Tamandua tetradactyla: one gene and its partners. The main gene of each other region encodes a partner of the protein of the gene in region 2 in a complex. Links are inferred from orthologs where the notes say so. Each region holds a gene or a part of one and is shown on either strand. Other genes may lie near its edges.

Region 1 (7,147 bases), on a different chromosome or scaffold from region 2:
ATAATTGGCAGGCAACTTTTTCTGGCAGGAGTAGGGATAAGCACTTCTTTTTGTATATTTTAGGATTAAGCAAATAACTTTGCATATCCTGGAAAAGCAAAGCAAGGACTCTCACAGTTGGAAAAAGGAGTTAACATGGAGAGGGGAAAGGACAAAAGGGATCCTGCAGTACTGGACAGCATGAACTAACGGATAAAGTTTATCCATTTCCCAAGCTCTGTCCTCAAAGACGGCCCAGAAGCAATGACACCCTAGTAACAGTTAAGCGCACAGAGTAGGCAGATCTTGGTTTCTAAATAAATTCTCCTCTGAACACTGCTTTTAACTACAAAGGGTAAATTAGTAAATTTTTTTTTCTTTGTACACTGTATGGTGGGGGTCACATTTTACTCTTTTTCCATGTAGGTATCCCCTTATTGCAGCACCATTTTTTTGATTTTTGGTTTTTTGCTTGGTTTTTGTTTGTTCGTCATTTTTGGGAAGTGCATGGGCAGGGAATCGAACCCGGGTCTCCGGTATGGCAGGTGGGGATGTTACCACTGAACTACCCTTGTACCCCCTAAACTAGCGATTTTACAGCTAGAAACCTGGTTGTCCCTCTGTCAACCTAATGAGCAAAATCAGCGTTGGCAGTAAGGGGCAGCAATGGGCAGCACCAGCCTCCTGACATCATGTGCTGTGAAGAACCAACATCGCTTGTGTGGGATTCCTGCCACAAATGCATAACCTGGATCATGATGAAACCTCAGACCAACCCAAACGGAGGGACAGGCTACCAGATAAACGGCCTGCACCCTCCAACAACGTCAACATGATAAATTAAAACGAGGAGTCAGAATTACTCAAGGTTGTACTGGTCTAGGGAATCTAACTGAATTCCATCCAGGCACCACCCTGGACTTCCTTTTGCTATAAAGGGCTTTTTGTTACCAGAACTGTTGACATCTCCATAAGGTCTGGAGATTTGATAATAGCACTGTTTCAATGTACTTTCATAATTTTGATTACTGGATTGTGGATATTAACTGTTCTCCCCAGGGGAAACGGGGTATAGGAGACAGGATTAATATAAGACTTGTGGAACTACTTGGGAGTAGATGGCATTAGTGTGGTGGTGGCAGTAAACTGCTTTATGTTATCTGATTTATGTAAGACAGTTTAGGAGGAAGAGAATGTTTGTTTACCCCAAATGGTTATTTTAAGTACGAAGGAAGAACACTGAAAGATAAGAACTTTGTTCCCTGGGGAAATGCATGCATGCCTATTGTCATCCTGTGGTATATAACCAGGATCTGGTTAAGAATAAAATTGCATTTATCCACTGTTGGTGGGAATGTCAAATGGTGCAACCACTGTGGAAAGCAGTTTGGCGGTTCCTCAAAAAGCTGAATATAGAATTGACATACGACCCAGCAATACCATTGCTAGGTATCTACTCAAAGAACTTAAGGGCAAAGACACAAATGGACATTTGCACACCAATGTTTGTAGCAGCGTTATTTACAATTGCAAAGAGATGGAAACAGCCAAAATCTCCATCAACAGAAGAGTGGCTAAACAAACTGTGGTATATACATATGATGGAATATTATGCAGCTTTAAGACAGAATAAACTTATGAAGCATGTAATAACATGGATGGACCTAGAGAACATTATGCTGAGTGAGTCTAGCCAAAAACTAAAGGACAAATACTGTATGGTCCCACTGATGTGAACCGACATTCGAGAATAAACTTGGAATATGTCATTGGTAACAGAGACCAGCAGGAGTTAGAAACAGGGTAAGATAATGGGTAATTGGAGCGGAAGGGATACAGACTGTGCAACAGGACTAAATACAAAAACTCAAAAATGGACAGCACAATACTACCTAATTGTAATGTAATTATGTTAAAACACTGAATGAAGCTGCATCTGAGCTATAGTTTTTTTTTTGTTGTTTGTTTGTGTTTTTTGTTTTTTTCCTTTTTTATATATTTTTTATTTTTATTATTATTTTTATTTTTTCTCTATATTATCATTCTATATCTTTTTCTGTTGTTTTGCTAGTTCTTTTCCTAAATCGATGCAAATGTACTAAGAAATGATGATCATACATCTATGTGATGATATTAAGAATTACTGATTGCATATGTAGAATGGAATGATTTCTAAATGTTGTTAGTTAATTTTTGTAATTAATAAAAAAACTTCATTAATAAAAAATAAAATAAAATTGTCTGAAGTCTGTCTGAAGTAAACTCAAGCTTCAGACCCCCTGAGCCCGTCTGTGTCTTTCTTTCTCTCCTTCTTCCTTTCTTTCTTTCTCATCATTCCTTAATATCCTTCGAGCTCCGTTTCTACAGGAAGCAACAACGGCGAGCAACACCCACCGCATAGGGTTGTCCTGAGCATTAAACGAGCTGATTCAAGCACAGAACTCAGCCCCAAACATTCAATAAATAGAGGGAAGACTCTCACGGGACGCTGGGTGTCAGGGAAGGGTTTCACTGGGAAGGTGGTTGGGGAGACCCAGGGCCTGGGCCCCACCTCCGTTCCGAAGGGGAGTTAGGCACTAGCTGCCTACATGACGCCCCCCTCAAGGAGGAAAGACGGTACAGATGGCATCACACGCCGCTTACCTTGTGAGGGCACTGAAACTCCTCTTCCCCAGCACGGTAATAACACATCTCCACACCCCTGTGCCAGGACACCTGCTGAAGCTCTGCTCCTACACCCCACGGAATGTCTCTGTCCTAAACCCTCACAAGCTATCCTTTGCACCCCTCAACCTCCCCGCAGGACACCGCCGTCAAGAAGAATCTTCTGCTAAGAAGTCATGTCTAAACCCCGTGCCCGGTGTGCTCTTTCGGGTTGAGAATGTGCCCACCCCGGCTCCTCAGGAGTTGGGTTGGAATACTTCTTTTTAAAACCCCCCCACCCTCCAGCCTCCAGCCTCCACCTCAGGAACGCCAAACAGCTCAGGCCCAGGAAGACAAAAGCTTTCCATAGCCATAGTTTCCCTGAGGAGCGTCCAGCTCAGGGACGCACTGGCCAAAGGCCACGGCTCAAAGAGGTAGGATTCAGGGCAATTCCCTGCAAACTGAAGCCACAGCTCCCATGCAAAGTCAAGATCCCCAGTGCCGAGGCCGGCGACGAGCGTGTCCTGTGAGCAAGGATGTTCTCAAAACCTGCGTGTGGGATGGCGACCGTAGGCCCTAGGAAGGGGGTGAGGACACTGGAGAGAACCAGGATAGCCACAGGCGGTGGAGCCAGATTTAAACTTTGGCCCGTCTGAAAAGCCCAATTTCTTATATCTCTGCTCCAAGAGACTGGCTGCTTCTTGGGATCAGAAAAATGGATTTAATTTTTTAAGGGGGAGGGGTGATCATAACTTTTTCTTTTCCTGTCACATCTCCGTGTGTATACATTTACGTCTAACACGTTCCAAGTTAAGTAAGAGAAAACTGCATCTCTGCCAGGTCGCCTTACTAGGGGATAACCGAAAACTATCTCCGGGGGCAAGCTGCCACCTTTCCGCGCGGTCTGCACGAGTGAAGCCTGCGACCACCACCAGCATAGCTCGGCCTGTGTCTGGGCCAGGGGGGCCCATCGTCCGGGGTCCGGGACGGCTTTCCCCGGAACCAAGGCTGGGAGCCGCATGGACGCCAGCGCGCCCCTCGAGCCCGCACTCACATGGCAGGAGCTTTGTTGCGGGGCTTGAGCCATCGCCTCCCAAAATGGGGAGACAAGATGGCGCCCGCACCCCTGACCGACGCTACATACGGGTTCTTCGCCATGCAAGAACTACAACTTCCAGAATGCTCTGCGGCGGAAGGCGGGCGGCCGAGGAGCGCTAGAGCGACGGTCGAGGTGGCGCTCAGCTGTGGGTCGTTCTCCCCAGCAGAAAGCCTCCGGAATACGTTACTCGCTCCGGCCGCTCCCCCCACCTTCCTTGTATTGGCCGACGGGACCCGCAGTTCTCGGTGACTCGCAGCCACGAGTCACCACTTTCGGGCCTTAAGAAACCACACTTCCCGGTGTGACTTTGGCGCCTGCGCAAAAGTGTGCAGGGCATACTACGATTCCCGGCGGGCCCTGCGACGCGCGCGGCTGCGTGCTGACGCGCTTAGTCAGGCGTGCTGACGTGCAGCGCGGCCCAGGCGGGGAGCGAGTGGCGCAGTCGGAGCCTGCTGCGGCCCCTGAGGAAGCAGAGAGGCGTCGGCGTCGGCTGAGGCGGGCGGATCGGCGGGTGTAGGCTGCGGCTCCAGGCCCCGAGGGACTCGAGAGCTCAGACAGCGGCAGTACCTCTCCCCCTCGGAGGCGGCGGGCGGAGGAGGCGGCGGCGGCGGGTGAGAGGGTGAGGGAGCGCGCGGACCGGGTGGGGGAGGGGCAGCCGCACGGCGGCCCCGGCGCGAGGCCAAAGCGCGGGGAGAACGGCCTAGGCCGTTTCGCGCACGCGCGTTGGATGCTCCTAGCTCGCGCGGACGCCCTCGCTTGCCTGCTTCCCCTCCCCCTCCCTCGGTTCTCGTAGCTCAAGGGCTTCTCTCCCTTCCCCCATGGCAACGGCGCGCGCCGCCGGCCGCATTCGGGCTCGCGCGCGCCCCGTCTTCTCGCCGCCCCCGGTCCTGGGGCCGCCGCTGTTCATTTCGGCCTTTTTTGGGGGGTGGGGTGGGGTGGGGGGCGGCCGGGAGCCTTCTCCCGGGCCTTCTCTCCGGCGATCTCTCCGGCACTGGGCTTCCCCGTCCCTCTCGGGGGCCTGTTGGCAAACCCGGAGGCTTCGTTGGTCCGGCTCCTCCCAGACTGCGGGGCGCCGCGCAGCCCCCTCCCCCATCCCTCAAGGCCGAAAATAGGCGTGCGCGGCCCAGCTAGTTCAGGGAATGCCTAGTACTAGATGCCCCCGAGATTTAGGCATCTTGAAGTCGTTTTATTAGAGGATTGAGGGTGGGACCTTTAAAAAAAATTCCTGCGTATTCAGCCTAGGTATGTAAGGTATTATGTGTGCTCTTTTTTTCATATTTTCATTATCTGCCCCCAAATCGTTAAACCTAAGGAGACTGTTGGAGCCCTTCGTTGGAAATAAAACTCCAGACCTAGAGACTTGGCTTCCTGTTTCAAGCGCTCTTTGGGCCGCAATTTTTTTGAGCCCTGGTTTCCACATGGCGTCTCTGAGATGTCCTTTAGATACAAAAAAATTCAGAAGAAATCTATTTTGGGGTCTTCCGTGTTAGTTGTGTGGGTTTAGGTCTCTTCCTGAGATCACAGTTTACTTTTCTGAGTTCCATAGTGTTTATTCACCTATTACAACGTCCCAGCCCCGGTCTTGCCATGTTACCTATGTGTCCCTGTACACCTTCCCTCCTTGTGGTGCTATTTCATTTTTTGATTTTTAAATTTCGATATTCCCGTCTATCTCCTGATTTGGGATCCTGATGATTTTCCCATAGAAGAATGTCTCTTTTGCCTTCCTTTGCAGTTTGATTTAACTTTCTATTTTTACATCGGATCATCTGTGCATGCCCACAGTCTTTGGACCCCGGTTTAAAATTCCTGTTTTATGAAGTTCCTTCTCCTGCTTGGTCCCTTCTTTTAGTGTTTTGAGAACCTCCTTGGTTGCCCTGGTGTTTTTGTTTGTTTTTTTCTCTTTTGTTTCGTTTGATTTGATCGTGTCCTAAAAGTTCTCCAATTCATTGTGACTAAATACCCTTTGCTTGGCAGCTACTAGTTTTTTCTCCCTGGGGAGTGGGAGGATTTTTGTGTGAGGTGGTGTGGAAGTGCGGGTGAATGGTTAAGTAAGCTGAAGAATGGTCAGAAGCATTGTGTGGGGGAAGTGGAAAGTTAGGTGGGGTGTAGAGAGGCAAAGAGGGCTTTAGAGTGGGGAGGATTGGTATTGGAAAAAAACGAAAGTGACAGTGGGAGGGTACAGTAATAGCTGATTTCTTGGGCTATAAGGAAGTTTTTTCATTTTCTTGGGCCTTTCCACTTGCCTTTTCTAGATTTGGCCTCATTTGCCACTCCCTTACCTTTGAAAAAAGTTATTTTTTGAAAGGCGTTATACCTATCTTTTTCTGCTTTTAATTCTGTCTTAGGTTTTCTGCTGGGGTTGGGCAGGGAACCGGCCTTAGTTTTATGGGGTAAATTGTTGTGAAACTGAGCTATCCATTCTGTTCGTTCAGAATCGTTCCATGCTTTTTTTTTCTTTTTCCCCTAGTATATCTGTTTGTATGATGCTCCTTTCCTTTTATCTGATTATTTCTGTATTCTTTTCTTTAGCCGTTCCTTGGGTCTTTTTCTCATACGCTCATGCTCTGTGAAATTGTCTTGGAGAGGATGAGTGGGAGAAAGGAATGGAGTGTGTGGAGTCACAAAATCTAACTGGAAAAACTGGGACTCGATGGTTCTTCAGGGTCTTGTTAGTGGTGGGACAAGTTGAAAGAATAGAACGTGGTGGGAGGCATGGGATTAACATGACAGGGAGAAGACAGGGCTAGGAGAGAAAACTAGAAAGTGAGATACAGGGGTTTGGTAGGGAAAACCAAGGACAGGTTGACTAATGAAAGTGAGGTATAGAGAGGGAAGGTCTTTTGAGTAAGCTTATGAGGCAAGGAGTATAGTGAAAGGTATGGGATGAATTAGAACAGAGAAGGCTGATTTGATGAATTTAAGTAGAGCTCTGAGTTGAAAACTAATATTTAACAGGAGTTAGCATTGAAGGAACAGCATGCTGATCGTGGGAATTCCTCTTGGGAAAAATATTGAAGGAATGAAATATTCAGATAGTTTTTAGGAGCTGTGAATGTTTGGAACCAAGGAAAAGTAGCCGTTTACTAGGAGGTGAACGAAGTATAAGGGGTTTAGCCAAGGTTTATGTAAGTTTCTGAGGTACATGTTGGATTTTAGTCTGGGTGTGAGGCTTCACAGGAAACTTGATTTCTTTTAACCAATTAGTCCACTAGTTTAGATATCTAGGGGCATTTTAGTCCATTTTGTGTTCATACGGGTTGGCCTGGACTCTTGGAAGAGTTTTGGAGCTTGGACCACAGGCCTTTGGGTGCCTCAGATCTCTCTGGTGTTCATTGTGCCCCATTTGAGGCTTCAGTCAGTTACTGGCTAGGAAGTCCAGTAGTTGGAGAAGGCACTATTTGTGCTTATTGGGGCCAAAGGAGG
Region 2 (7,645 bases):
AAGAGGGCAGAGGATGAGCAGGTGCAATGCCCACCTGTTTGCTTCACATTTGGAAACCCTGGGAAGACATCTGGAGAAGGGTGGCAGTGGATGACCTAGATAAATAGGGGATGGGCAGGATGGGAACTTTACTATTTGGGGAGTCATGTGAATATATTACCAATTTGGAAAAATTAAGTTAAAAGCAGAACTGCAGTGTGCCAATATGGAAACATTTATGAATTAATTATATTAAATTAATATTAATCTCATGAATACTGAAAAAGCTGAGATCTAGAACTGCGTGGTGGGACAGTAACAGTGATTTTAAAAAGGCTAAAACCCCACATATGTGTATGATGTCATCTTCAAGTAACATCCCTGAGAGGCGACCCAAGAAGTGAGCTGTGGTGGTGGCTTGGGGGAGGGTGGCTAGGCATCCTTTGTAGCTGTTGACTTTTGCCTCACATGTATGTATTACCCATGCAAGAAAGTAACATAAGCAAATAAATAAAGGCCAGGGGATTGGAGGGTGGGGGTAGGTTACTCATAGTGTTGCCCTTAGGTGTTGACGAGTGGGAGAAATGAGGCAGAAGAGTGCGTGGAAAATCACAATTTTGTCATATACAACTATGTCTCAATAATGCTGTTTTTGTTTTTTAAGTCCACGAACAAAAACTACCATTACAAAGGATCCCCCGGATATACGTGTGAGTGTGTTGGTGTACAAATGTGTATTGGGGTGAAGGCTGGGTAAGGGAAGGATGATCTGAGGGTCAGAGGAGGAGAAAGCTAGAGAGAAAGAGAAAGAAAAGAATAACAAAAATATAAACCACCACTTATCAAGCACCCAACCATATGCCTGATCCTCCTTTAAGCATTTTAGAAATATTAACCATGAATCCTTGCCACAAACCCAGGAGGGAAATACTACTATCATCTCTAGTCTCTGGAGTACAAATAGAGGCTTAGTGCCATGAAGGGACTCATTCAAGGTCACAGTTTGGAAATGGCAGAAACTGGTTTGAATCTACTGACTCTCTGCAACCACCATGATTATTGCCATTGTGCTGACGAGATGAAATCATGTGATGAAGGTCACATGGCTGCTAAGAGGCAGAACTGAGACAGGAACCTAGGTGGGGGCTGGCTCCTGAGTGCATGCCCATAACCACTGTACTGCACAGCTGGAGGGGCAACAAGAGACAGCCACACTATGGGGGTTTTAGATGCACATGTCTTCAGATTCCTCCAGCTGGAGCTGGGGCTGCTTCTCCAGGCCTGCACAGAACACCTCCCAGGACCCAGGTGCTCACCTGTCAAAGGCCTTCACACGGCCCAGGAGCTTCTTGTTGTTACGGCAGTTGATGAGCACTTGGGTGTTGTTCTTGACAGACTGCGTGAGTACGGAGAGGGGCCCTGTGTTAAATTCCTCCTCCTCCCGCTTCTGTAGTTCCTCTGGGGTCATCTCACTCTTGGGCTTGTTGAGGAGGCTCCTGAGGGGGCAAGCACAGGACCGTGAGTGAGAGGGGTTGGAGGTGGAGGATGAGTAGTTATGGTCTTGTCCTTGGTGACCTCCCCCAAACTTGTTCCAACTAAACCACTCTCCCGCTTAGGGCTCCAGTTCTCCTCCCTCTTAGCATCACTACCTGGATCCCTAACAGACATTTCCAACCTTGCATGTCACAGGTTGAGTTCCAGACCACTGAACCACCCAACCCACTCTATCCACAGCCTTCCCCAACTCCATACCTCAGGGAAAAATAATCGAATGTCAACTTGTCTCCTTGTTCTCACATCCTACATCTAACCTGTCACCAAATCCTGCCATCTGCCTCTAAAACATATCCAGGATCTGAACATTTCTTACCATGGTTACTACTCTGGCCTAAAATTCCATTATCGCCCTCCTGAGATCTTACTGGTTTTCCTGCATCTCCCCATGTCCCCAACAAACTATACCATGTCACTCTTCGAAACCCTCCAGTGGCTCCCATCTCAGTGTAAACAATAAACTCCAAAGTGCTCACAATGCCCTATACCTGCCCCCTCTTTCATTCTGCTCCAGCTGCAATGGTCTCTTGAGTGATCCATGAAGAGATTCCCCTAACTTTCATCTTAGGGCTTCTGCATTTGCTTTTTCCTCCGTCTGGAAATCCCCCAAATAGCTGTGTGGTTTGCTTCCCCACTTGTCTCAGATTTTTGTTCTGCTGTTAGCTTTCCAATGTGGTCTTCTGTGTTAGTTATTAAATTTATTTTCTCTCAAAATTGGCATACCCCATTGTTCTTATCATCCTCTACGGCTTCTTGATTCACTGCCCTGATCATTTAAATTTTATTTGCTTACTGTATTTATTGCCTGCCTTCTTACGCAGAAGCTGCACTGAGACAGGGAATTTTTTGCGGGGTGGGGGTTCTATTTTATTCACTGAGGCGTATAAAGCAGTGCCTGATACACAATGAGCACCCCATAATATCTGCTGAAGGAATAAATGAATGAAATCACTCCTGTGATTCATTATCCATGAAAAGCCATTTGTTTCCAAAGTCAAATTTCCAGTATTAGTCCTTTACCTCAAATCGTTTTTCCTTGAAGTCGGCACTTACTTTTCCCCAGGTCCTTTATCTGTAACATCGCTTCCCCTTAAAATTCATCTTAGCAAGTCCAGTTATCTGGCAAAGTCCCTAGCCTGTTATCTGAAAAGGCAGCTTCCTCTCCCGAACTCATGATCAGTAAAAGGCCCAAATCCCATCCTCAAACTCGCCAGAAGGAACATACGCCACTTTACCCATAAAACTTCTACCTTCGCCCCCAGCTCGCTATCAGAAAAGGGCTCTTCCCAACAGACAAATTTGTACCCCCAACCCCACTCCCGCCGCCCAGACCGGGCCGGGCCGGGCCTCACATGATAGTAGGTGAGTCCTGGAACCTCTCCCTTCTCAGGCGTGTTGCGTTTCCCTCCGCAGACAGAAAGAGAGAGAGGCGGGACTTCCGCTTCCTGCGACCTACTTCCACGGGCGCCTGCGCGAACCAGCGGTAGGGGCGTGGCCTGTTGCCATAGCAAACCCCGTCCGCCGGGCGCAGTGGTGGGATTAAAACCCTGTTTAGTAGTTCGAGGCCATTCAGGGCTCTAAAGGGCAAATGGTCTCGACGACACAGAGAAAAATAATGGGGGTCCGAGTCAATTCATTTCATTGTAGGACAGGATAGATTGAAGGGGGAAAACGACACGCCAATTCCAAATACCCGCCAGCTCTGCTTTCGGAGGCGCGACCTCCGCGTGACCAATCCGCTTCCGGCTTCAGGGGTGGGCCCCGCCCTCTTGCCCTCCCGCCCTCCCGGAAACTCCCTTTACGGTTCGGTTGATGGCCTCCACGCCGCGCAACCAATTCTTAGCCAACTCCCGGGGGGGGCGTGGACCTGCCTCTAGGTGGGCGGATGTTGTCAAGGATCAAACGCTTCTTCTGTTGGCTTCTCCTCCTCTGCTGAGGCGGAGCCTACCTCTTTCGCGATCCCTTTTGGGTTGTGCAGCCCAAAGGGAACCGACCCCAAAACCTCAAGGGGCCCATCCTCAAAACGGCAGTTCCCATTGGCTTTACTGCCTGCGGGGGGTGGGACGATGCAGTCGCTCTTGATGCTCATTGGTCCGGTGGTTCCGTGGGAAGGGACTTGGCTGGGCCTGAACGAGCTTCGCGGTCCTGGACCCTTTGCCAGGTAAAGCTGCCATGCGTCCCGGCGGCCGCGGACGGCCTCGGCTACGGCTCGGGGAACGCGGCCTCTTGGAGCCACCCTCGCCTCCCACGCGCCGCCTGCTGCCCCGGGTGCAGCTGCTGCCCCTGCTGCTGGCGCTGGCCGTGGGCTCGGCCTTCTACACCATCTGGAGCGGCTGGCACAGCGGGCCTGGGGAGCCGACGCTGGGCCGAGAGCTGCGGGTGAGGCTCCGCGCGGGTTGGGGCATGGCAGGGGCCCCGCATTCTCCGCCTCTCCTTCCTCGGATCTTGGGTTGACGTGGCTGTATCGTCCGGCCGCAGCCGCAGGTGCTGCCGTCACCGTCATTCGAGCCAATGCCCCTTGCCAGCTGAATCGGGCTTCGGGCTTGAACTGTGGTTCTCCCTTAAGAGGAAGGATCGCGAGTGATAAGACTGGGAGTTGGGAGATCGTGGTTCTAATCCCAATGTCATCTCTTTGGAAGAGTCCCTTTCTCTTTCGGGGCCTTGATTCCCCCCCCCCCCGCCCCCCAGGATTAGGGTGGGCTGGACCAGATGGGCCTCGAGGGATATTCCTGAGTCTAGGATTTATCCTAGAAGTCTTTCACGAGGAGCCAAGGATTATGAAGAGGAACCGGAGCTCCTTATGTCCAGGGTTCCAGGGTTAGGGTCTCGGTGGGGACTGCACTTACGCGCTGGTCTTCCCCACCCCCTCTTTTCCTCTCAAGACCCCGCTGATCGGAAACCTTCCCGAAGCCGGATTGCGGAGGGTGGTGGGGCAGCTGGACCCTCAGCGTCTCTGGGACACCTATCTGCGCCCCCTGCTGGTGGTGCGAACCCCGGGCAGCCCAGGCAATCTCCAAGTCAGAAAGGTAAAGGGCCCCACCTCCCAGTCCCCAACTCGCCCCGGGAATGGGAACTGAGCATTCCGCCCTAGATCACAAAGCAGCTAAGGGGCAGAGCTGGGGCTGATCTGAGTCGATTCAAACGCCCTGTGTACCGTCCCCATCAAAAGCATAAGCAACAGCTCAGTGAGTTGGTCACCAATACAATCTTCACATGCAGATGGGAAAACTGAGGCCCAGAGAGATTATATACTTGGCCCGAGTTCCATAGCTAGTAAGTGGTAGTCCTGGGGGTTGAAACGAAGCAGGCTGGCTCTGTAATATCCCAGTACTGCCTCCCAGAAAGAGTAAGGCATCACTGAATACAGGTCTGGGTTCGAATCCCAGCTTAGCCGCTTGGAATGTGAACTTGAACTAGTCTCTTATTTTGTTGTGCCTCAGTTTCCTCATATGTAAAATGGGGTCAATGTCAGTTCCTACCCCACAGAGTTCTGTAGAGTACATAGAATAGGGTCTGGTATTGAAGAGTGGGCAGTAATTAATCCTGTTGGTATCAAAAGGTAGGGTTGCCCCATACCTGGCACCCACTAGGTGCTCAGCAGATGTGTTTCAAGGGAATATGAGGTGGTCTGGCTGCTCTGCGTGATTTAGGTCATGGCCTTCCCCTGACCCACACTCCCGCCTCTCTGTTGCCACTAGTTCCTGGAGGCCTCGCTGCTAGCACTGACTGCAGACTGGCATGTGGAGCTGGACCCCTTCACAGCCTCAACACCCCTGGGGCCAGTGGACTTTGGCAACGTGGTGGCCACACTGGACCCACGGGCTGCCCACCACCTCACCCTCGCCTGCCATTATGACTCAAAGCTCTTCCCATCTGAGTTGGCCCCCTTTGTGGGGGCTACGGATTCGGCTGTGCCCTGTGCCCTGCTGCTAGAGCTGGCTGAGGCCCTTGACCTGGAGCTTAGCAGGGCCAAGCAGCAGGTGAGGAGGGGGGTGGGGTGGGCTGCCTCCACCCTCACTTGCCTGGGTGTTTATCATCCTTCCGGTCTTCTTGCCTTCATGCACAGGGACACAGGGGTCCTCCCACTTGCTGAATGTCAGAGCCTGTCCCTTCTCTGTCCCAACCTTCTCTTGATGGCTTCTGTGTCACTCAGAGCATAAGCCAGAGTCTTTGCTGCCTCTCCAATCTCATCTCCCACCCTCACCTATTACTTACTCTGCTGTAGCCACACAGGCCTTCTCAGTTTCCCCTAAACCCACGATGTTCACTCCTACCTCAGGGCCTTTGCAGTTGCTATTTTAGCTGCCAGGATCGCAGTTCAAGTATAGTGATTACAGAATGGGCTCTGGAATCAGAAAGCCCTGGGTCCAAATCCTGGTACTGCTTCTTACCAGCTCTGTGAACCTGAGTTAAGTGGCTTCAACTCTCTGAGCCTCAGTTTTCCCATCTGTAAAATGAACATCATGATGAGATAATTGGGATAGCTACTGCCTCGACTCATAGGGGTTAAATGAGACCTGGGAACCCAGTGAGCCTACAGTAGCGGGTAACCAGCATACATTCCTATTGCAGTGAATAGGACCTTATGCCCTGGCCTTCTGCCCTCCAGTTTGCACCTGCAGCATGCTTTTCTCATACCTTCCTGGCTAGCTCCCTCGCTTCATTCAGGGATCTGTTCCATCATCACCTCCTCAAAGAGGCCTTCCCAGACATCCTAAAATCCCTCCCTGTCACCATCCTGTACTTCATATTGACTTCTCGAAGCCTCACTTTCTTCACCTGGAAAATGGTGTGAATTCCTAGGGTAGGTTTTGAATCCAGGTCTTAGAACAGTGCCTGGCATCACCCCAACAAGAGTGAGCTCCCTGAGGGCAGGGAGTTGACTTCTTTTGTTCCCTGGGCCTAGAACAACTCCTGATGTAGAGTAGGACGTCAGTACAGATGTGTAGAATGAACGAATGACAACACAGATCTCATCACATTGTTTCCCTGCTCGAATCCCTACCTTGGCTCCCCAGTGCCCCCATAACAAAGCTCAAGCTGAACTTGTTGGCCCTTGCCATCCCTCTGGCCTCTTCTCACACCTCTCTGGCCCCTTCCCTGGGCCCAGTCTTGCCCTGTGCTATTTCTTTGCCCAGAACTCTCTTCCCACTGCTCCCCCATTCACTTTTTTTTAGGCCAGCTCCCTCTCACCTTCAGGGCACAACTCCTTGCCCCAGATCCAGGAACCCTCCCCAGGTCAGGCCTCTCTCCCAACCTGCTCTCCCACTGCCTGAGCTCTCAGGACACTGTAGTTCTTGGCAGCATTTGTCCTAGCTGCAGTCCACTGTTTGTATAGTTATTCATTATATAATGAATAATTGGGTCTGGCTCGTCTGCCAAACTGAGCTTGAAGAATAACAATAATAATCAGAGCCAACCCTTTGTAGTCACTATGTACCAGGCACTGTTCTAAGACCTGGATTCAAAACCTACCCTAGGAATTTACCCCATTTTCCAGGTGAAGAAAGCGAGGCTTCGAGAAGTCAGTAACTTGTCCATGACTGCTTTGTTAATATGCAGCTGAGCCTGGATTTGAATCCCTGGCAGTCTGACTCAGAGCGGGTACCCTTGGCCACCATGCTCTACAAGTGAGGAGACCTAGTCTGCCCTATTCAATTTTGTGAGCGGACAGGGTGCATGGGTGGGCTGTGGCCGCGGACCTGGCACTGGGTGGGTGCTGATACCTTCTCCTACAGGCAGCCCCGGTGACCCTGCAGCTCCTCTTCCTGGACGGCGAAGAGGCCTTGAAGGAGTGGGGGCCCAAGGATTCCCTCTATGGGTCCCGGCACCTGGCCCAGCTCATGGCATCCGAACCCCACAGTCCCGGTCCCACCAGGATCCAGGCTATCGTAAGACCAGGGCCCACTCCGGTTCCGGTGAGGGAGGCAGAGGGTGAGGCAGGGTTGGTGGCTTTGCACCCGGCCCCTCCAGCCCCGGCCTCTCTCCCTAGGAGCTCTTTGTGCTTCTTGATCTCCTGGGCGCCCCCAACCCAACCTTCTACAGTCACTTTCCCCGCACGGCCCGCTGGTTCCATCGGCTGAGGAACATTGGTAAGGGCTACGGGGGAGGC
Region 3 (7,197 bases), on a different chromosome or scaffold from region 2:
GTAGTACCAGACTACAGCCGGCACCTCCTCAGGCTTGCAGTGACAGGGAAGCTCAAAGCTCATGTCAGCCAGGTAGGCTGCATTGTCAAACATCAAAAAAGCCGGGCAGGGGGTCTTCTGAAAAATGTTCTCCTTCTCCACGATTTCAAAGGCCTGAAGACTTCCCCAGACCCACAGGAGCACGGTGGTGTGGGCCAGGCTCATGCCTGCAGGAGAGCAGGTTCAGAGGGGGAGGTGCAAAACCAAGGCACTAAAGGCCCTGTGGCATCTAAAAATCCCTGCTGAGAGCAGGGGCAGATGGGAGCAAAGGATTACTCAGCGAGGAAAAAAAAACTACACTCTGTGGAGGAAGTGGCCAAAGCCAAGGCAATTTATTCCCAGCTGATATACAAAATGGCCTTCAAATGTTCCAGACCTGGTCTCATGAGGAAACCATTCTAGAACCTGGCCTTCACTCGCCTTTCTAGAACTCTGGCACTCATCCAAGAATGGGTCAGGGGAAACCAATGAAAAGCAAGGGCCCAGTGGCTGGGATGAAAAAATTTCTGCCTCACTCTAGGCTCTACCCTGCCCTGCCTACTTGGTGGAAGGGTCTTCCTTTCTGTCAGTCTGAGAGATGAAGGAAATCCTCATGCCACCACACATGGCCATCTGAAGAAGTCTGGGGGGCTGGCCAGACCTGAGCTCATAGCTTGGGACTTTCCCAGGACCAACCTGCAAAGAAGCCCAGTCCCTGGGGAGAAATGCTACACCCTAAATGAGGTAGCTTTTGATCATTTGTGGTTGTAATAGCCACTCATTGGTTTGGGGTTATAAATATTCTTATTAAGAGCGGTGGAGATCACTTATTTACTATGAAGGATTAAGGATTTACTTTCTCTTTTTTTTGAGTGAAGAGCATTATTGATGTAGCCATCTCTCAGAGCCAGGGGAAGCTGGGAGAGGGGATAAAGGCTTAGATAGGTTCTAAAGGTGGGAAGTAAAACTGCTTTCAAACTCTTGGGCCATTGACTACCCTTTGGATCCAGAGTTCCAAACATGGAGCCACTAGGGGTTAGAGAAGTGGGAAAGATCCGATTCCTGCTCTTGCTCAGAAAATTCCAAGTTGAGAAGGGCATTAGGGGTGAGTTTCTCATTGCAGTCCTGCAGAGCCCCCAAGACAACAACAAAATGCCTTGAGTGGTCTCTGGGGGCCTCTGAGAGCAGATGGTCCTATCAGTCCATCTGGTACAGTCCCAGAAGCTCCTGCAGGAGCCTCTCTTCATCTTGGGGCCCTTCAGGTTGCTCCTCCAGACCCTGCTTCTCCTGGCTGAGCCTTTCTTTCATGGGACTTGGGGCACCCATGGCCTGAAGCTTCTGAAACAAGCTTCTGCAGCTCTCCTTCTCTGCATGGCTCAGCAAGCTCAGGTTTAAGGTGAAGCGTCCAGTACTGGCCAGACTGCGCAAGATACCCAGTACTGCCACCCTGTCAATTGGCCTCATGTGATCAGCCAGGGCCACCAACAACTCCCCTAGAAGTCCAAACCCTACATCTGTCTGGAAGAGGTGACCCAGCTTGGGACCCCCAAGCTGTAGCAGGACCTGGTAGCGCTCTGGTCCACTCTGCAAGTATCGTCGCCAATTGCGGTAGAACTCTGCTGAGGTCTCAGGCTGGAGGAGTGTTTTCTCCTGGATTACAAAGGAAAGAAAGAGAGTCCAGAGCTTGTCCAGCTGCTCTGGGGCAGTGAGAGGGAGGGAAATTGCTACTCTGATAGTGCTATCTGAGTACTGGTTGTGGTCCCTATGGGCCTCATTTTCAAATGCGGGAGCTGGGACAGGAAGGGAGAGCCCTCAGTTGTATAAGATTTTCCCACTGATGAATGGGGACATGATCCCAATCTAAGAGAGTAAGTCATGGTTTACTGTGACCAGGGTGTAGGGGATGATTGGAAATCTCAAGAAGAAGAATGAATTCGAGGTGAGTATCAAGGATCTGACAGACTAGGTCTCCCTCTCAACACTGCCAAAAGATCATTATAGTATTTACAACCTGGAGGCAGAGAAACTCCAGCCTTATCTGGGAATGAAAGTCAAAGGACTGACAGAAGGGGACCTGCGGAGCCCAAATTTCTGACTTGACCTGCCGAACCCAACTTGGCCCCACCATCCTCTGGTTGCTTTCCTTTCTGGGATTAGAGGCAGAAATCTGTCTCTGTTGTCCTTACACTAAAAATAAGGAATAGGTATGTGTTGTAAGAAGACAGGATTGCATGTTCAGGGCAGAGAATTTTGCTGGGCTGAAGAGGCTGGGCCCACCCCTACCTGTGAGATTTCAGTAGCCTCATCCTGGGAGGTATGTCCCGGAGTTGTGTGACAGTTCCAGGACACAATCGCTTTTCCTCTCATCTTGTCTTTTCGCTCCAGAGGCTTCAGATGGGAGGCAAGGACAATACCCCTGTGGGCAAAGGACAGAGATGGAGGAATGGATGTAATGCTCTGTGAATGGAAGGTAGCTGGGCTTGGCTCACTACAGGCTGAATCTGTTGACAAACCAACATAACAATAATGATAATAGTAACAGCAACAATAGCCAAAGGTTATTGAATACTTCTTGTGTGTCTACTGTGCAGCAACTCATTTAATCGATACAAGGGCTACTCTCTTTGAAAATTGAGGCCCAGAGAGGTTAAGTAATGTGCACAAGATCACACATCTAGTAAAAGGTGAGGCCAGGAATGAAGCCCAGAACTGTCTGACTCTAGAGTCCCTGTTCTTTTCCACTATTGTTACCATAAGAGAGGCCTGAGAAAAATGACAGTGAGTCAACCTGAATTCCTCATACGTAGTCACCCTCTGTTCCACTGCCCTTAACTTGGCAGCATTCTCCCGCTTGTACTTCTCATCAGCAGCAAGTGCAGCCTGCAGCTCTTTCTCCAAAGCCTTGAAGTTGATGACATCATTCCTTTCCATGGCTTGTACCTGGGAAGGCAAAGAAAATGGATATTAGCAGAGGGTCAATATAAGGGAATGCTGGGGCCTCTGGATTCTTTGCCATCCCACAAAATGATCCAAAAGCACTCTGGGAATCATTAACTTACCTTGTATTTATGTGTGTGTGTGTGTGTTGAGGGGCAGTAATACAAAAATCTAGTTTTCTGCTTTACAAGGAGGGGAACTGAATAGCAGAGTAGGGACTTGCTAAAGACTTGTCACTAAAAATAGAACAAAGTTCCAACTTTCAGTTTGGAGCCCTATTAATTTTGTTCTCTGCCTCTAAAACTATCTGAATGTTGAGTGCTTTGTCTGAGGAGGCATTGGATTTCAGAATTCAGCCCCTCCAGTCTTCCATATGGGTAAATTTTTGGGATGGACCACTTCAACTAAAAAAAGAACTATTAACTACTCTTGAGCCTGGGGTAAGATTTCACCTTTCATGAAATACTTTAAATAGGGAGGGGCATTTTTCACCCAAACTAGATGCCATGACTGAGCAGGAAATCAACACATGGCAGAGAAGTGGCTCAATGATCCCCGCCTCTGGCCAGTCAAGGAGGAGCACAGGTTTCTATGTTCTCAGATGAACTCTTTAATTCTGCCACTCTGATTCTGCAGCCTCCACGTACCTTTGGCGGATCGATTCTTTCTACAGGGAAGTCATCTATATGGATTTCTACCGGGAAGTCATCTATATGGATTCTAGTTTTGGTTTCAACATTTACTTGCTTGAGATCTCTCTGAACCTCCTGGTGAATTTTGTGGCGGAGTTATCAACTGTCCTGAGGCAGACAAGCAGGAGGTCCTCATCCAACCCCACGGCTACTACCCCCATCCCCAGCATGGGTAAGAGAAACGACAGGAAAGGACCAGAGTGAGCTAGAAACTCAACTCAGGCATCTTGACTCCTTCCCAATCTATCTATCTATTGAACAGATAGAACAACTAACCCTTCCACTTTTAACCCCCGACTCAGATCCCGGAACTTTATCCCGCAGTTCAGGCCCTAGACGCCTTGCTTTCTTTGGGGTTACCCTGATAAATTGGGACAAAAGAGCAACTCAGTGCAGATCGCGCCCAGCAGCTGTGGTTGCCTAGCAACTGCTCCACCAGCCTGCCCACGTGATCCGCCCGAAGGCCCCCTTTCGGGGTGGTCCATAGGCGCCTGCTCTAATTCACGCCTACTCAGGACTTACTCTCTGTGGGACAGTCCACGCTTTGTTGTGGGGACCCACGACTCTTCCTCGCAGGTTTTTGTCTCCGCGGCCGGCGCTATTCCGAGCCAGTCCTCAGGCGGAGGGTTGTCCTCCCGGCAGAAACGCGACTAAGGCGTCTATGGGGTCCTTCCCAACGCGGGCTCAGGTGTCGCGCGGCGTGGGACGGAAGCGCGGCGGCCGGCGGCTGGGTTAGGACTCTTGGCTAGCAGGCGGCAGGTGAGTTGATGAGGGTCAGTGGTATGGAAACGTTGCTCCGGGTGGGATGGGAAATTAAAGAACGTCAGATCTGGAGTAGGCATTATGTGCTGTCTGTTCTTTTACTTTACATGTGGGGAAATTGAGGCCTAGAGCAGGAAAGGAACATAGGGACCACTCCAGAAAGGCCTTTTCCCCACCCCGCTCAGATCCCTGAATTCCCTCGATATAGTCCATCCATAAAATTCCGTTCCTGGCAGGGGTCGTGCTCTAACTGCTTAGCCTTCTCACATACTCCCACTTCTGGACCGCCTTCACCTCTTCTTTACCAATCTGCTTTCCTCTTTATTTGATTTTTTTTTTTTGAGAATATGCTTGATAGCGGGAAGCTGCAGTGAAGACCGGCGCCAAAAGTCACTAACTAGCTTTGTGCAACTGAGGAAGTCACCTAGCTTCTCTGTGCCTTGGTGGAGTCATTCATCAGTAAATATTTATTGAGGGTCTCTTTTGTGCCGGCACTGTGATAAAGGAGAAAACAAAGTCTTTGCTTAGAGTGTAGTAGAGTCAGTGAACGATAAACAGACGAATAGATGTGAAAGTCAGCTTGTGATATATATTAAGGAAATAATAAAACAGTTTAAGTGAGGGGCAGAGAGTGGATATGTGGGGGACTTTTTCAGAGTGACAAGGGAAGATTTCTCAGAGAAGGTGACATTTTGATAAAGACCTAAAGGAAGTGAAGGGAAAAGGCATAAATATCCAACAGAAGAGCGTTCCAGACAGACGGAATAACAAATACAGAGGGCATAGCAAATACAGAGGATCTGAGGCTTGTTCTGTAAATAGCCTTGTATAAGAATCTCTTGTCACTTCATGAGATCTTGGGAGGATGACTTGAGCACAGATGTGACAGCTCTTTGGAAGTAAAAAAGAGTACGTGAATACAAATGCTTTCCTAATATTTACATTTAATTAATGGTTCACAGGACTCAATTCTCTATTTCATCTATGGTCAGCATTGAGGAGGTAGTATTGAGGGAGATGGAAGGATTAACCTAATGCAAGAAATATCAGTATCTCAAAGTTGGGCATTCTATATAGTTAACATTTATCCCACCCCTACTTATGCAAGGTGCTGTCTAGGGCATTTATAGGTAGACACAAGGAGTATAGGGTCCCCATATTCAAGAATGTCCAGAAATAATGATAACTGTGCTGAATTCTGTGTGCAAACTGTTTTGTTTAATCCTCACAGCACTACACAGTGGGAATTATTCACTCCATTTTCCAGTTGAGAAAGCAGGTTTGGAGAGGTGAAGTAACTTATCTGAAGTCACTCAGTTTTTAAGTGACAAAGTCAAGATTTGAGTCTAGATCTTCCAATTCCAGAGCCCTGTTAAAAATGCTCTTCTGTGTTGTCTATTACTTGTAAATTTTATGAAAAAAGACTTGAACAGACACTTCTCAGAAGAGGAAATACAAATGGCCAAAAGGCACATGAAGAGATGCTCAACGTCCCTGGCCATTAGAGAAATGCAAATCAAAACCACAATGAGATATCATCTCACACCCACCAGAATGGCCATTATCAACAAAACAGAAAATGACAAGTGCTGGAGAGGATGTGGAGAAAGTTTAGAGTTCTCAGTGAGACTAGTTAGCAGAATTAAATGCTGATAAAGGTGCAAAGTGCTGTAGCAGTGTAGGAAAGTGAAAAATTGACTCACTATAAGGAGGGCATTTGAACTGTCACTTTGAATAGAATTTCAGTAATTGACGTGGAAAAAAGCCACAAAATACTTATTAATAACAAATGGAAAACTAGTCATTTTACGATAGAAAAACCTGACCGGCACCACCTTAGTCAGTTAACATCACCTCTAAAGGGGCCATTTGAAATCATGTGCCACTTGACAAAATGTACGGAGGAGAACATGGTATTACTTCTGTGGTGTTCCTGCCAAAGATTCATAAACTAAATCTAGTTACGAGAAATCATCAACAAACCCAAATTAAGGGACATTTTACAAAATCACTGGCCAGTAATCCTATCAGTGTCATGATCATGAAGGTCAAGGAAAGACTGAGGAACTTGTTCCAGCTTGAAATAATAGTGGCATCGCAACTAAATTCAACATGTGATCCTGGATCAGATCCATTGCTGTGCAGGATGTTATTGGAAATATGTGAAACTTAAATGGAGTCCTATGAATTAAATAGTAGTAATGTGCCAAAACTAATTTTTTTTTGTTTTTTATTTTGGTGGTTGTAGTGTGGTTATACAGGAGAATATCCTTGTTTGTAGGAATCATACACTAAAGCAAGGGGGTTAGCAAACTTTTTTGGTTAATGATCAGAAAGTACTTATTTTAGGCTTTGTGGATCATATAGTCTCAGTTGCAACTATTCAACTCTGTTGTTGTAGTGTAAAGCAGCCTAAGACAATATAAATGACTGCATGTGACTGTGTTAATTTATTTATAGACATAAATTTTGAATTTCCTCTCATTGATTTTCATGTACCACACACTATTCTTTTAATTTTGTCAATCATTTAAATAAGTAAAAAGCTATCAACAGATGAATGGATAAAGTGTGGTATATATATGATAGAATATTGCTCAATTATAAAAAGGAATGAAGTTCTGATATTTGGTACAACATGGATAAACCTTGAATACATTGTGTTGGGTGAAATAAGCCAGACACAAAAGGATAAATACTGTATGATTTCACTTATGTGAACTAACTAGAATATGGAAATTCATAGAGACAAAGCTGATTATAAGTTCTGGAATAGAAGTGGGAAATG
Region 4 (7,504 bases), on a different chromosome or scaffold from region 2:
ACCTTTCTGAAAAAAAATTCAGATCAAACCACAAAGCAATCTCACTTATAAACCTCCTATGGTTCCCTACCAGCTAAACAAGAAATCCAAATTAGCATTCAAGGACTTTCTCAATAGAGCCCCTGTAGAAAATGTAAACCCTCATCTCTCTTCTTCTGCCAATACATTTTGTAGTCTCAACTTTGCACTGTTCTTTGAACATTTCATGTTCTTTCACATTTTTGTGTCTTTACTCATAATATTCCTTCAGACTGAAATGCTTCCTCGTAGCCCCTTCTCTGCCTGGAAAACTTCTACTTATCAACTATCACTATCACCGTCTTTGTGATAGTCCTTCTTCAGGGCTCCCAAAGCATCTGTAAGTATTGCTGCAATAATACTCTCCTATTACACAGTTAATCATCTCTGCGTTTTGTCTTGCCTGCCAGCCTGTGTGTCCTCTAAGGGCAGTGATGATAACTTGATGTCTCTATATCCCACGGTGCTCTTCAATGCTCCACAATGCTTGGCACATACCAGGGGCTCATGAATGCTTTATAATAAATAAACCAGATAATAAATAGAGAAACCATAGACATAACCTATCAGTATTTTACTATCAGAAAGTCAGGTTGCCAGTTTTACTGAAAACTCACCTCATATTGGCACCAGTACGGAAAGCATATTTCTTATATTTGTCAAATATCAAAGCTGTTTCCACCCTGGGGGAAGACTACTATAATAAACTTGACCAACAAAATCTTATTCTATTATAATACGTTTAAAAAGAAAACTGGATTAAACTGAACAATTAAAAAAAAAAGTAAAACTGGCTTGTACTTTTGTACTTTAAACTTGCTAAGTGCTTTCATGCTTTTAATTTTAGTTTGTCTAGATAATATCCTAGGTCCCTTCCAGCTCCAAGACGCTATGAGTTACTCTGAATTTTCTGTTGCTTTTATTTTTTCCTGGAAATGTAACTACATGCTATATATATGTTACCACTATTAAAAAGGGGGATATAATTGAGGCCAAAATTTAGCCATAGCCACAGAGCTAGAAATGCCTTTAGAATCTAGTTTGTGTAAAAGAGCAGTTAAAAGTGAAGGTTTCAGAAGGAGACAATTTAGCCTGAACCCTATCTCTACCAATATACTAGTTGCATTGATATATGGCAGGTTATCTTATCTCCCTAAGTCCTAGTTTCCTCAACTTTAAAGGGATAGTTACACCTACCTCACAGAGTCTTACAAAAATAATGAGATAATACGTTTATGAGCTTGACACATAGTAAATAAATGGTAGGGAGATAATAACTTTACTATCATTATTATATATTATATAATTATATATCATTATTTAATACATTTCTTCATTTTACAAATGGTGAAGAAACTGAGGCCTCAGTAAAAGGAAATGACTTACGTGGTCACTCAGCTAGTAAGCAGCAGAATGGGTCTAGAACATAGGACTCTTCTTCCTTAGACTACAGATATTTGCACACTAATGTTCATAAGTGACATAATTCACAACTGCTAAAACATGGAAGCAACTCAAGTGTCCATCGATAGATGAATGGATAAACAAAATGTGGTATATACAACAGAATATTACTCAGCTGCAAAAACAAATGAAGTTCTGATACATGTGACAACTTGGAAGAACCGTGGAGACATCATGTTGAGTTAAACAGGCCAGAGACAAAAAGACAAATATTGTGTGACCTCACTGATATCAAATAATTAGAATAAGAAAACTCACAGAGTCAGAATCTAGAACATAGGTTACGAGGGGATGGGAATGTGGGGGCAGGGTAGGGAATAGGAAGTTAAGGCTTAAAATGTACAGAGTCTCTATTCAGGACGACAGAAAAGTTTTGGTAATAGATGGTGGTGATGGCAGCACAATATGGTGAACATAATTAACAGCAATGAGTTATACATTTGAATGTGATTAAAAGGGGGAAATTTTAGGTTGTATATATGTTACTAAAAGAAAAAAAAATCCATGGCACTGCACAACACAGTAAACCCTAATTTAAACTATGGACTATAGGTAATAGTACAATTATAAAAACGTGCTTTCATCATCTGTAACAGATGTAGCGCACCAATGCAAGGTGTTAATAATAGGGTGGCATAAGGGAATCCCGTATTTGATGCATGATTTTTCCTAAACTCACAGCTTCTCTAATAAAAAGAATATACATATATTTTAAAGTAACATTTAAGCAGAGACCCAAAGGCTGAATGAGAATTAGCCAGGTGAAAAAGAAAAGGGGAATGATAGCAACGATAATTTCTAACATGTATACAAGCATGCATAATTTCCAAAGGTGAAACTGAGAGAAAATTCAGTTTGGCAAAACGTGGTGAGGTTCTGTTGGCACTGTAGGCATGGCAGTTCTTCACTGTGGGGGTGCCCCAGGCAGTGCTGCACGCTTGACACCCCAGGCCCCTGCGCACTAAATGGTGACAACTCCCACTGCACACATTCCCCAATGCTCCCTGGTCATGTAAGGAGAACTGCCTCCAGGGGAGAACTGCTGGGTACATGATCTAGCGTGTGCACACACGAAAGCGTGTGAGACAGAGGGTGGCTAGGGGGACACGGAATGGGAGAAAAAAAAAATTCTCTGATATTTATTGTAAATATTAAATACTAAATGATTCACTGGTGGCTCAGATGCATCTATGCATGGCTTCTAGGCCCCAGCTGAGACCCAGGGGCTGTCCTGTACTTCCATACCAGCTTCCTTTGCTGAGGGCATTCCCTATACTTGAAATATTTTCTTTCCTATACTCCATGGATAGAAATCTTAGCCATATCCATTCAGTCATTCAAAAAACATCTGTTCAGCTTCTATGTGTTGCGCTGTGCCAGACTCTAGGAATATAAGGTTGAAATGGTTTCTACCCTTAAGGAGAGTATAGGCTGCTGGAAAGACAAAGATGGCAAACAACTGGTATTACATAGTAGAGGGGGCCACAGAGGAAGGAACTTCTAAGTCTTTCAAGGTCCATGGTGTTGGCTCCCTGAAAAATCTGCACTAGTGTTCCCCCCCTTGTCCCCCTCTGAATAAAAATTAACCTCCTTTTCTGATTTCCTGCTCTTTATTAAATACCTCTACTAGTTCACAACACAGTCTGCCACCTGCAGTCACTATTTGTGTCCCTGTCCACTTCACATTAGACTGTAAATTACACGATGGTAATGACCACATCTCTCAAGATGGTTACCACAGTGCTTTAAATATATGAAGCATAAAAACAAAGTTGGCTAAATCCAATACTTGTTTGTTAGATTGAACAGGATATGGGGAAAAATTCACCAACTTTAATGTGCTCAAAGTAAGCGCTAAAGGGGAGGGTCTGTGCAATATATTTTTACACTTGTCAAAAATACCCCATACATGACCTGAAATACTTGGGGAAGAGAGTACCTTACCAGAAAGAAGGCAGAGCACGGAAGGAGGGAAATACAGCAAGAAAAGATAAGCACCCAGGAACTTAGAACTAAAAATCAGCTCTCCATTAGCTACTGTAAATATTTAATCACTCTCAATTAAAAAAAAATCTATGTGGTTAATAGCCACAAAAGCTAGTAAGGCTTCAGAGTCAGACAGACCTGTTTGAATTCCAACGCTGACACTCATTAGCTATTTGACTCGGGTCAAACTGGTTAACCAATCTGTCTCAGTTTTGTCATCGGCAAAAAGAGGACAATAGTCGTATACTTGATAGGGACATGAGGATCAAATGAGCCAATGTACGTAAATCAACTAGCATACTGGCTGACATACAGTCGGCTGCTCCTCTCTATCGGGATAGTGGGAGAGGATCTGTCCCGACCAGACAGTGCAACACTGAGAGATGTCAGCAAACGAAAGGATATAGGTAAACAGAACACGAGCACAGCCTCAGTTAGGAAACATTCAGGGGAAGTTCATCTTGAGGAGCCAAAGCATTCTTCTGAGGAATAACTCTCCTAATTGGGAGACTCACCGTTACCCCGTATTTGAGTGCTAGTCCAGCCAGCGTGTCTCCGGGCTCCAGCTGATGCTCCAGGCGTCTTTCTCTCACTGGAGAACAGGCAGACTGCACCAGGCTACCATAAGAACGAGCCCGGCTTCCCTGAAGCAGTCCTGAACCCCCAAGAGGAACCTGTCTAGAGGGAGAAGCCATCTCCTCACCCTGCCGACAGCTGAGTCTGCGACTGAGAAGGCCCGGCTAAATCCAGGGTATTCCTTTCTTCTTCTTTCCTAAATCTTCCCCAACCCACCCCCTCGCCCTTAGCTCCCCTTTATTCCCCCAAACCTCCTCCCGCCTCTGTCACTCCACCCCCTTCCCCGCCCTCTCTCCTTTCAAGCCCCTTTTCCCACAGTCCTAGTTCTTGAATATTCAGTTTCCCGAGTCTCCCTTTAGCCACCCACCAACCTTCGACCTCCCACAAGTCCTCGCTCCACTGACCTCTGACTTTTGAACTCTAGGTACCCTCGCAACACCCTTTTCTCAGTTTGTTCTCTCAGCCGGGCAGCCCGGCCTCCCCCACTGCGGCTCCGCCCCGTCCAGGGGTTGGTCCGTTAGGGTCAGGAACAAATCAGGCCTACTCGGGGTGAGCTGTCGCCACAGACGAAGGGCTTAAGGATGGCGAGCGTTTGTAGTCCACTTCCATTCAGGGACTCTAAGAAGCCAGCTCAGCATCACATCGGTCACACTCTCAAATCCGGGCTCAAGCATCAGCTCCACATCTAGGATCTTGTGCCTCCAAAGGCCTCGAATCTTCCAAGATGCAAGGGCCTTGGTTCCAGCCCTTTGAGAAAAGACTTCATCTCCCGAAAGGCCCCGCGCGTCGGGGGCGCCGGGAGCCAACGCAGAGCCGCTTCCGCCCCCTTCGCCGTCGCGCAGTGCATACAGGGAACCGCGTCCCCGGAAGTCGGGCGGCCAACCGGAAGGAAACCAGGAGAGGGAAAGCAGACACCTTTTACCTGCTAAGATGGCTTGAAAGGTGCGGGTGATGCATTGCTAGCGAGTTTATGGCTGCTGGGACTCACGATAGCGATGTCTTTCAAGAGGGAAGGGGACGATTGGAGTCAACTCAATGTGCTCAAAGTAAGCGCTAAAGGGGAGGGTCTGGAGCAGCTTCAGCCGCCCTCTGAAGTTTTTGAAAGAGCTTTGCCGGGTTGCTCAGGCAGCAGCTCCGGGGACGGGAGGGAGCCAGGCGACTAGAGCTGGAGGTGCACCCCCTTTTCGCCCTTTGATCGCTGTTCTCTCTATGGTCATTATTACCTTTGATTCTTCATCACTATAATTTCCCTTCCATACTTTGTCCTGCTTATTTCTTTGACCCTGTTCGATTTCTTCCCTCGCACCCCCTGCAGAAACGAAGAGTCGGTGACCTCTTGGCCAGTTATATCCCGGAGGATGAGGCACTGATGCTGCGGGATGGACGGTGAGGGCAATGAGTGACGCAAGTCTGAGGTTTCTGCGGTTACAGGTCCAATAAACTGTTGTTGTTAAGGAGAAGACTGGGAGTTACTAGGACTCTGGTGCGGCGTGAGGGACCAGAAGAGATAGGGATATGGTTGGTAAAGATCGGGAAACCTGAGAGTGGCCTATGAAAAGGACTAGTGGGACAGGGTGGAACCTGTAGGAGGAACCCTCCTGATCCAGTTATCCTCTTCTCTCACCTCCCTAGCTTTGCTTGTGCCATCTGTCCCCACCGACCTGTACTGGACACCCTGGCTATGTTGACTGCCCACCGTGCAGGCAAGAAACATCTGTCTAGTAAGTTTGGGGGGAAGACAGGAAACAGAGAGTAGACCCTCGAAATCTCTGCAGGTCACTCTTGGTACATTGCTTGTAATTTCCTTTCCGTTGCTCCTCAGGCCTGCAGCTTTTCTATGGCAAAAAGCAACCAGGAAGGGGAAAGGAGCAGAATCCAAAACAGCAAAATGAATTGAGGAGGGAGGAGACCAAATCAGAGGTAATCAAGAGGTAATCCTAGGCAGGGCTCTGCCACACACGCCAGGCTGGAAAGGCTTTGGCTCCTCTCTAGCTCTGAAGGCTCTGATTCGGTCTCCTGTTTCCCTGCCAGGCTCCTTTGCTGGCCCAGACTCGATTTATCACCCAGAGTGCGCTGCACAGAGCCCCCCACTATAACAGTTGCTGCCGTCGGAAGTACAGGTCTGTGGGATGGGAAAGCCAGAGGAAAATATGGTGATTTGAGGATGAAGAATAGGGAAAGAGTAACTTTGCTATTAGTTCTTACATTTAGGTCCATAATCATTTTGAGTTACTTTTGGGGTGGGGGGTGGGGGGTGGTGCCTGGTCTGGGAATTGAAATGAGTTACTTTTTGTATATGGCTTGAAGTAAGGGTCCAGTTCATTCTTTTGCATGTGGGTTATTCAGTTGTCTCAGCATCATTTGTTGAAAAGACTGTTCTTTATCCACTGAGCATTACTGCATTAGGAAAAATTAAGAATTGAAGAATAACTATGAAAAGTTATTTCACTTCACATTAGTTAGATGGAGACAATGGATGGAAAAATATATATGGTATGGGAATCAGTCTTAAGGCAGGGAGGGACCTAGATAGATGGAAGGCAAAAGGAGATAGATAGCTCTAAAAATATTGTTTTCCAAATTGTATTCTGAGGAATTTGAGAGTTCTAGAGATATTAATTGGTATTTCAGGAAAAAGAAAACTTTGTGATTTTAAATAAAGTTTGGGAAATAGTACTTTGTACTCTTACTTGAGGAATAGTAATATCAGCATATTTTAAAGGCTCTACAAAGTCTTAAAATTAAAAATATATATATTTTAAAAATTTTGTTTACTATAGGCTTTTCCTAAATTCATTTGATTACAAATTCCTCATATGCAGAACACTTATTAATATCTTGAGAAGCAGTTTAGGAACCAGTTGTTTAGGCAACACTGCTTTTAGGGGGTGGGAGTCATAGAAGAGTTGGTCTTTTCCTTTATGGCATTTATATACTTCTATCCTTCTCTCCCTAGACCCGAAGCCCCTGGTCCTTCTGTCTCCTGTTCTCCTTTACCACCCCCAGAGGTTGAACTCCACAGTGGGATAATCAGCAGGCAGCCTGAGTCTGGGGCTGGCCCACAGGCCAAGGAGACAGCAACTGTCTTAGCCCCCCCACCCATGAGCCCCACAAGAAGACGAGCCCTGGATCGTTACCTCACCCTTCGAAGGTGAGTATGCAAAATCACTTTCCTCGGATTTTCTCTTTGCTCTCTGTCTCTCCTTTTTGCACACATACTTGATTGTTGTTTTCTTATCCCCATTAACGACTCAAACTTCCTTTTTCTCATTCTGACCAATTCTGTTTTCTCTGATGTTTTTCCAGCTCTGGATGGATCCCAGATGGACGAGGCCGATGGGTGAAAGATGAGAATGTTGAGTTTGACTCTGATGAGGAAGAACCCCCTGATCTCTCCTTGGACTAACACTGTCTTTCCCCATTTAATTCACAAATAAACTACAACAGGTGCTGGGAGCCT

Evidence for each region.
Region 1: SNRPD2 (region 2) and SRRM2 share a complex: the UniProt entries of both Homo sapiens proteins name them as parts of the minor spliceosome. The link is inferred for Tamandua tetradactyla from reciprocal best matches to the Homo sapiens genes SNRPD2 and SRRM2.
Region 3: SNRPD2 (region 2) and EFTUD2 share a complex: the UniProt entries of both Homo sapiens proteins name them as parts of the minor spliceosome. The link is inferred for Tamandua tetradactyla from reciprocal best matches to the Homo sapiens genes SNRPD2 and EFTUD2.
Region 4: SNRPD2 (region 2) and SCNM1 share a complex: the UniProt entries of both Homo sapiens proteins name them as parts of the minor spliceosome. The link is inferred for Tamandua tetradactyla from reciprocal best matches to the Homo sapiens genes SNRPD2 and SCNM1.

The regions. Positions count from the first base shown.
Region 1 is NC_135349.1:54,601,729-54,608,875, forward strand, and holds the start of SRRM2 (serine/arginine repetitive matrix protein 2), read left to right. Parts: upstream 1-4,127; 5' UTR 4,128-4,332; intron 4,333-4,681; exon of another isoform or gene 4,682-4,963; intron 4,964-7,147. UniProt on the Homo sapiens protein: Required for pre-mRNA splicing as component of the spliceosome. As a component of the minor spliceosome, involved in the splicing of U12-type introns in pre-mRNAs.
Region 2 is NC_135342.1:15,336,447-15,344,091, reverse strand, and holds the start of SNRPD2 (small nuclear ribonucleoprotein Sm D2), read right to left. Parts: upstream 3,017-7,645; 5' UTR 2,888-3,016; coding exon 2,886-2,887; intron 1,476-2,885; coding exon 1,296-1,475; intron 1-1,295. Other genes in the region: QPCTL (glutaminyl-peptide cyclotransferase-like protein), read left to right, coding at 3,706-3,912, 4,416-4,559, 5,232-5,513, 7,272-7,424, 7,526-7,625. UniProt on the Homo sapiens protein: Plays a role in pre-mRNA splicing as a core component of the spliceosomal U1, U2, U4 and U5 small nuclear ribonucleoproteins (snRNPs), the building blocks of the spliceosome.
Region 3 is NC_135332.1:22,527,513-22,534,709, forward strand, and holds the start of EFTUD2 (116 kDa U5 small nuclear ribonucleoprotein component), read left to right. Parts: upstream 1-4,195; 5' UTR 4,196-4,406; intron 4,407-7,197. Other genes in the region: Ig-like V-type domain-containing protein FAM187A, read right to left, coding at 1-204; DNAAF19 (dynein axonemal assembly factor 19), read right to left, coding at 1,216-1,668, 2,302-2,434, 2,807-2,949. UniProt on the Homo sapiens protein: Required for pre-mRNA splicing as component of the spliceosome, including pre-catalytic, catalytic and post-catalytic spliceosomal complexes. Component of the U5 snRNP and the U4/U6-U5 tri-snRNP complex, a building block of the spliceosome.
Region 4 is NC_135330.1:4,391,527-4,399,030, reverse strand, and holds SCNM1 (sodium channel modifier 1), read left to right. Parts: upstream 1-4,493; 5' UTR 4,494-5,039; coding exon 5,040-5,090; intron 5,091-5,359; coding exon 5,360-5,430; intron 5,431-5,676; coding exon 5,677-5,765; intron 5,766-5,866; coding exon 5,867-5,964; intron 5,965-6,075; coding exon 6,076-6,164; intron 6,165-7,000; coding exon 7,001-7,195; intron 7,196-7,350; coding exon 7,351-7,450; 3' UTR 7,451-7,500; downstream 7,501-7,504. Other genes in the region: LYSMD1 (lysM and putative peptidoglycan-binding domain-containing protein 1), read right to left, coding at 3,984-4,163. UniProt on the Homo sapiens protein: As a component of the minor spliceosome, involved in the splicing of U12-type introns in pre-mRNAs. Plays a role in the regulation of primary cilia length and Hedgehog signaling.